Linked DNA regions of Mus musculus. The protein of the gene in region 1 interacts with the protein of each later gene in a pairwise test. Links are inferred from orthologs where the notes say so. Each region holds a gene or a part of one and is shown in the gene's direction. Other genes may lie near its edges.

Evidence for each region.
Region 2: the proteins of L3mbtl3 (region 1) and Plekhf1 interact in binary tests that used the Homo sapiens proteins (3 or more experiments, as listed by UniProt). The two-hybrid records come from large-scale screens. The link is inferred for Mus musculus from reciprocal best matches to the Homo sapiens genes L3MBTL3 and PLEKHF1.

What each region holds. Positions count from the first base shown.
Region 1 is NC_000076.6:26,273,676-26,277,044, reverse strand, and holds the end of L3mbtl3 (lethal(3)malignant brain tumor-like protein 3), read left to right. Parts: intron 1-781; coding exon 782-925; 3' UTR 926-2,577; downstream 2,578-3,369. UniProt on the Homo sapiens protein: Is a negative regulator of Notch target genes expression, required for RBPJ-mediated transcriptional repression. It recruits KDM1A to Notch-responsive elements and promotes KDM1A-mediated H3K4me demethylation.
Region 2 is NC_000073.6:38,224,978-38,229,296, reverse strand, and holds the start of Plekhf1 (pleckstrin homology domain-containing family F member 1), read left to right. Parts: upstream 1-1,302; 5' UTR 1,303-1,356; intron 1,357-4,319. UniProt on the Homo sapiens protein: May induce apoptosis through the lysosomal-mitochondrial pathway. Translocates to the lysosome initiating the permeabilization of lysosomal membrane (LMP) and resulting in the release of CTSD and CTSL to the cytoplasm.

The sequences.
Region 1 (3,369 bases):
TATTCATGTGTAACTAGTTCTTTGCCCAAATTATTTTGTGTCCAAAAACATTGTAATCTTCTGTAACTTAAATCAAACAAACAAAACAAACTATATATATATATATATATATATATATATATATATATATATATATGAATGACTCAGTACCTAATTGAGGAGAACACAAGAAGGTTTGGGGATAGGAAGGTGGTTTGGTTCATGAAGTGTTTGCAGAGTAAATATTATGACCTTTGGGTCCCCACAACTCCCATAGAAATTCAAGCGTGGCAGTGCATAACTGTAAAACCAGCACTGAGAAATAGGTGTGGGATCGCTGTAACTTTCTGGCTAGAGAGTTGAGCTGGAACGGCAAGCTCCAGGTTCAGTAAGATACACTGTCTCAGAGAATAAGGTGGAAAGCTAGAGAGGTTGACATGTGTAACTGAACTCTGGCCTCTCTCTCTCTCTCTCTCTCTCTCTCTCTCTCTCTCTCTCACACACACACACACACACACACACACACACACACACACAATTTTAAGTTATAAGAAAATGTGACCACTTTCCCTTCTTCTGTGGACTGCAGTTTCAGATAACTGAGCTTTACAATGCTGGATGTGTGGTTTTAGGTAAGAAAGACCCATGGATCGGGGATGTTGTGTTTAAGAGCTCCTGTGTATGCTGTGTTAGTATTGCTGTATAGAATTCAGCTGATAATACAGCATAAAGCTTGGAATAGTCTCACAATACTCCCTCTGGTTAATCCACACTCCTCTGTTTTTTCCCCCCTTTATTTCAGCAAATTGATGGAGAAGCATTTTTACTCATGACCCAAACAGACATTGTTAAAATCATGAGCATTAAGCTGGGCCCAGCTCTCAAAATTTTCAACTCTATTCTGATGTTCAAAGCTGCGGAGAAGAATTCCCACAATGAACTGTGAAGACGGTGAATTCTGGCACCATTGGCTTCTGCTTTATAGCTCATTATGTTCCTTCAAAGCACAAGGACAGCTCTAGCTCCCAAGTGAGAAGTCTTCAGAATTCACCGGAGCAGCACTCCAGGGCTCCATCTGTCCGTCCAGCTGCATATGCATTCTTAGGAAATGCCTGAGCTTCTTACCAGCAACTGTCCAACAACAGTCACCTTTTGGTTCCGCTCACTGAGCTAAACTTACCTTTGTAAACTTACCTTTTTTGGATGTGGGAGGAGGGTGGGGGAAGGAGGCTTCTTTATTTATGGATGGGGCACAATCAGAACTTTTGGCATTTTGTAAACATTGTCGGAGTCTCTTTCATGTACACCTTCTTTTTTTCAATACTTTCAGAAACCTTTTTATATAACTGAATATCAACCTAAACCAAATCCTTTGAACCTGGCTGGGTTAAGCCTCGGACTGGTGTCAGTCATGTTCGCCCTGTGCCATATTTGGAATTGCAGCATTAGCCAAGTGTAATGTTGTGAGTCACGATATTGCCTAACTGTGTGTCATCCTCTGTTGGGACTGAAGAATTGTAAATACGACCTTTCTTTGAATCCACATTTTTACTTTTGCACGCATCATGAATTGTTAAAGTACTTTTCACCAGCATCTTTACTATTATTATTACCAAAAAAAAATGTATATAAAAGAGTGGAGTTGAAGAATAAACTATATAAACCTACTTAGATTTGAAGGAAGTAGCGTATCGGGACAGAATCAATTTTGTACATCGTGGTGCCCATGTGTTTCCAGCAGTTGGCATTAGAGGATTGTGCAGTTACACATCCCAAGGGATGTTGACGAGGAATTTGATCTGTGAAGTTCTTGTGTGCATCTCTGTAAATGACGTGGAAGTTGCTGGTGCTGTACCGAAGAGGACTCACTTGTTGCTGGAAACACTAATCCTCCAAGAGCTCCCATCCGTGCCACAGGTCCTCTAGGCCCAGAGGATTTCCTCAGAGTGAGCTGAGAAGCAGAGTGAGCACCTGACTGCACAGGCCTGCTGTGACCCTCGTAACCAGCAGCCGCAGAATTTGCCACGCTCACAGATTGAGAAAGTGGTTCCCAAAGCCATTACTCGGGAACCTCCGATGATGAAAGAGTCCTTTTCCTATGAAATATTTTGCCTTGATTTCTAAGCATCTGAATGCACTTTAAATGAGAGCCCATGGTTATTTATAAACTCATAGCTGGCAGTGTTTTGTTTGTAAGCGTGTCCTCCTAAGGGGAAGGTAAAATATTTTGTCAGTCTTTGGATGTACTTTCTAATTCCACAATTAGACATTTACTCAAGGACTGATTTAAAAATATAAAGTTTAGTAGCATGCTGTCAGAACTCTGGGGGAAAGTCCCACCTCTTTCCATGAACTCTTTAATGTTTTTCTGATGTAGGACTTCCTTTGATGTGCCATAGTTGGAGTCCTTTGCATTTGTCATGATTCAAGGTAAACAGGGTCCGTGACATCTGCAATGTCCTCTTTCTTCATTTCTCTGCATGAATCTGCTAAGTAAGCTTTTTATTGTTACTCCCCCTTCTTTGTTGTGGTCAGTATTTGTACATTAACTTGCACTTGTTACATGTGATATGAATGAAATAAAATCTTAATTGCAGATTCTTTTTATATATGTATGATTTTTAAGGAGGTTATTAAATAGGAGAGGTTAAAAAAACAGGAACAAAATCATATCTAACAAAAGTTATGTAAGGCTTGGTTATATTTTAGTATTAGAATACCTACCTGGCAAGGTTTGATCTGCTTGCCTACAAAGCAACAACAAATAAATAACATGTTAAAGATACTGTAGGACTGGGGAGATGCCTCAATTGCTAAAGTGCCTGTCACAATAGCATGAGGCTCTGAGTTTGTAGCTCTAGCACCCATAGAAGAACCAAGTGTACCTGTTACCCCAGTGAGGTTCATTGGCCAGGGATCCTCACGGCATCATGAGCTTCAAGTTTAGTGAGAAGCCATGCCTCAAAAGACATTAAGATAGTGAGGCTAGAGAAATAGCTCACTGGTTAAAAGTACTTGCTCAATTTTCAGCACCTACATGGCAGCCCACAGCTACCAGTGACTGGTTCAAGGAGATGCAATCCCCTCTTCTGGCCTCCACATGCCTTAGGCACGTGCATGGTGCACAGGCATACATGCAGGCAAACACTCATACTTGGTGGTTTGGTTTCTTGTTTGTTTGTTTGTTTTAAGGGAATTGGTGGAGAGAGTAGTCATACAGGAAGACACAGTGATACTGGAAATGGATCCCTGGTGTGCATATATATATATATATATATACAAACATGAACAAGTACACAAACCACAAAGAAGGTGTATGTGGCTGGAGGACAATGTAGCAATCTAATGACTCTAAATTTGAATATTTTTGTCAGTGTACTTGGTAGGATA
Region 2 (4,319 bases), on another chromosome or scaffold:
GGTCTCATTATGTAGCTCAGGCTGCCCTCAAACTCCATCCTCCTGCCTCAGCCTCCTGCGTGCTGAGATCACAGGCATATGACACCCAGATCCCTAAATCTTATGATTAAAGATGAGCTAAAGTCAGGGCTGGAGATATAATATCTCACTGGTGGAGTACTTCTCTAGAACTTGAGATTGTGAGTTTACTGGAGGGGGGGCTAAAAGTCTCTATTTTTATGTGTCTTCTCCCCATCTGAAATATTCACAGCAGTGCATTTTGTAAATGATTAAACAAACTTCAAACCTAAAAGAAATATCAATAAGCGCTGGTGGGGTAAGGATGTGGGGGATGGTAGGGATTAAGGGACAGTTTAGGGAAGGGTCTGCCCCTAACACCATCACCAGAGGGCCACACCATCCCCTTCCAAACCCAGTTTGGTCTTGGCCCAGCGGGTACCAGGCTAACCAGAGCTAGTCCCTCTTCAATGTAACCAGTTTAGCAACACAAACTGACACTATAGACTAATATTAGCCCAGCAGTCTAGAGACAGAGGCAAGGCTTCTATGAGTTCAGGGATAGCCTAGTCTACATATAGAATTTCTGGTCAGCCAGGGGTAACAAGACAATAAAAAATGGATGGAGTTGAGAACTGCTGCTTTGTGGCCAAGGAGACCTCTCTGAGGAGGTGACACTGAAATGACAAAGGAGGGAGAGGGCGAAGGGTGGGAGTGGTTTTTAAGGAACCAGAAGACAGTGGATGAGAATTGCGTGGGGGCAGGTGAGATGGGAAAGCAGCCTTGGAATTGAGTTCTAAGTGACACCAGTAGCCAGGGCGGGGTACCTGTTCGTCTTGGATCTACACGATGAATGCCTGGGGTCCACTAAACTAATTTCCTCCCGTGTACTTTTGACATTTTCCTCTAGGAAAAAAATTATAAAGTTCTGTTGATCGTTAAGAAAACGTGTGTCTCTGTGGCTGAAAAGAGTAACATCATAGTAACAGGGGCACCTGAGGGCCCACCACTCCGTCATGCCTGCTTCCCTCACAGGCTGTTCCTCTGACCAGCGCCGACTCAGTCTTGAGTGTGGCGACCAGCAAAGCTGGGAACCGGACTCCAACCAGGAATCAGCCCATCGTCCCCACGCACAACCGCTGCTGACCCGTTTACGGTCCAGCGGTTTAATTACGCCCGCGCACATTTCTGGAGAACTCGGGCCGGCTCCGCCCCCGCCTGCGTGCCAGGGCTTCGATTGGTCCAGAGTCCCTCGAAGGGGCGTGACCAGAGAATTGGAACCCGGAGGCGTGGGCGGCGCAGGGATTGGCGGGCGCCAGTTCGGGACTGGCTGTGCGGACGCGGAGGTTCCTACGGGAGGTAAGCAGGCTACGGAGGGGGAGAGCGCTCCCCTTCCGCCCTCCACCCTGCCAGGTCTGCAGCTGTGGGTAGAGGTGGCCTCAGGAACCCGCATCTGGGGCTCCACTGGAGCAGAGGCTGCTCGCTGTTTTCTGACTTGGGAAGGGGTTGACAGCTGGGACTCTAGGGCCACTGAGTCCCAGGACTGTGCGCGAGTTGGAGAAGGGTTCTCCGCAGAGTCTCTACCCTCTCCTTATCCCGTGATGTTCCGGGAACCTCGTCTTGGCCAGAGACGTCTTGGGTTGGGAGGGACGGTTCTCAATAGCCTCGGATTTGGGACCCTGAAGAGTTTGAGTTCGCGACTCTTCATATAGGAAGTTATTGGTGTGGGACCGGGCCTGGATTCTCCTAGGGAGTAACTGAAGTACAATAAAGAGGTGTCCCCAGGCCTTAGCAGGAGGGAAACCGGCAGTTCCAAGTCTCAGTGGAATGTGTGCACTCCCCGGAGAGGGCGCAGTCCTTAGAATGTGAACAAAACCGGTATCAGATTCTACCCGGTCAGAGGCTGCAGAGGAGGGGCGATCAGTGCTAGAGTCAAGACCCCTGCGGTTTTTGTAAGCTGAAGTGCTTCATTTGCTGTGCGTCCTGCCCACGTCAGCCCTCAGAGCTGCTCAGAGTGGCTAGGCCAGTTAGTTGTCTGAGCACTGGGACCTGGCCAACCCTGTCCCGCCAAGGAAGGAGGGGTTTGGCATTGTGGCCTGCGGGATGGGACTGACTACCCTGTGTGTTATGCGGTGAAAGACACCAAAGTCAGGCAGTAGGAAAGACTACACACTCTGGATTTTAAGAACTTCTGACCCAGGGCATGTTTTTTTTGTTGTTGTTGTTTGTTTGTTTGTTTGTTTGTTTGTTTTTTGGGGGGGTGGGGGCGTGTTGTTTTGTTTACTAGGGCCAAAAGTTTCAGAAGTTATTGTCTCCTTTTCATCATGTGAATTCCCGGGATAGGACATGGCCACAAACACCAGGTTACCCAAAAGATTTTGCTTTTTTTGAGATAAGGTCTCCTTGTATAGTCCAGATTGACCTACAACTCTCTACCTTCCTATCTAATCTTACCAGATGCTAGATTATAGGAATGCCCTCTGGGCCAAAGTTTTTCTACCTTGGCTCAGAGTTTATCTGGAAGCTGGGCCCACTCCTGAGGTTCTTGGGTGGTGACTGTGAAGTGGCTCATGGGCACGGAGTTACAGCCATGCTTTGTGCTTAATTAACATTGTGTCTAGCAAACAGTGGGTGCTAAGAAAGTAGCACCTAAGGGTTTATTTTCCTTAATCTGTTCTCCTGGAGGAAGATTCTAGAAGGTCTCAGTGACTCTGTTGGGTGGTGCCACTCCCTTAGTACCCTTGTAATAACTCTGGAATGCTCACACTGGCCTGTGGACCTGCAAGACAGGCCCTGCCTGCCCCTTGTAACCTTACCTCTTACTCCCGTACCTCACTCCTTCCTGAGTTCAGGGCCCCAGACCTCTCTTAAGGGCTGTACTGCAGTGAGCAAGAGGGCTTGAGGACTTGCATCAGGACAGAACCCATATTGTTGTGAGCCACATCCACACGCAAGGTGTCTTGTGCATTTTACCAGTAAGGGGCCAGAGAGTAAATACATGTTAGATTGTGTTAGTCTGAGTGTGGTTGTATTTCACTAAGGTTGCATTTAGGAAGCCTGGCAGTGGCTCATAATGGGTCTGGATTTTTAGTTTCTGGTTGTAGATCACCAGTCCTTCTCGTTGACTATGTGTTCCTCGGTGCTGGGCATTTGGTTTGCTTCTGCCTCTTGGCTCTAGTAAACACACACAAGAGTATAGCTATCCCTTCCAATCCCTTTGGAGATAGATGCACAGTGGGAAAGGTAGGTATATGGTAAATGTATTTTTAATGTTTTGCGGAGTCTTCAGGTTGTTTCCCATCGTATCTATGTCGTTTTTTTTTTTTCCCTCAAGATGTATTTGTTAATTTTATGAGTGTTTCTATGTCTGTGCACTACACGTATGCAGATACCCTTGGAACTGGAGTTACTGGGGGCTGTGAGTTACTGGTGGCTGGGTCTGTGCAAGCGTATGGAGAGCCACTGAGCCGTCCCCCAAGCCTGTGGCTGTGACAGTTTACATCCCCAGCAGCAGTACACACTCTTCCCACTTTTCCACTCTGGCACCAACTGGAATTTCTTTGCTAGGAACTTTCCAATGGGTATGAGATCTCCTCCAGTTTAGATGGGCTTCTTTAACGGTTTGAAACCTTGTGTGGTTTCTGCTTGAGTGACATTCAGTTGTATGTGCCAACCTAGAGATGCTCACTTCGGCCGGACCTGGGCTTTTGGGGGTTTGTTGTTGGTTTTTTTGTTTTGTTTTGTTTTAATTCATTTTTATTTTTATTTTTATTCATGGGTCTGTATGACTGAAGGCCACATGTATGTGAATGTCTCGGAGGCCAGATGAATGTGTTAGTCCCCTGGAGCTGGAGTTAACAGGCAGTTGTGGCCACCCGATGCGGGTACTGGGATCCAGATGCTGGCCTCAGGAAGAACAGCAAGTGAGCTGAGACATTGCTCCTCGTCCTTTCCCTCCGCTCCTAAGAGTTTCAGTTGACCCTGCTATCCTTACGCCACTGCGCCTTTGGGCTTCCTGCCCCTGGGCCTCTCTGGCCTCCTCACAGTGAGATGTTATCCACATTGGCCTCCAGCACAGTGCCTGGTGGCCTTGGAGGTAGCATGCTGGCACATTTGGGTTTGTTGTATTGTCCCTCAGCCAAGAACTGATGATCAGGTGGCAGAACAAAGTTTGAAGCCAAGATCAGCTAACTAAAAATAGTTACATCAGGTGGTGTGGGCAGCCCTGAGGCCTGAAGGGGGGGAGCGAAACAGGACTGAAGAGGTTCGGTGTCTCCTCCAGGCTGACTTCTTGTCTCCTCCCTTCCCATCCCCCACCTCCA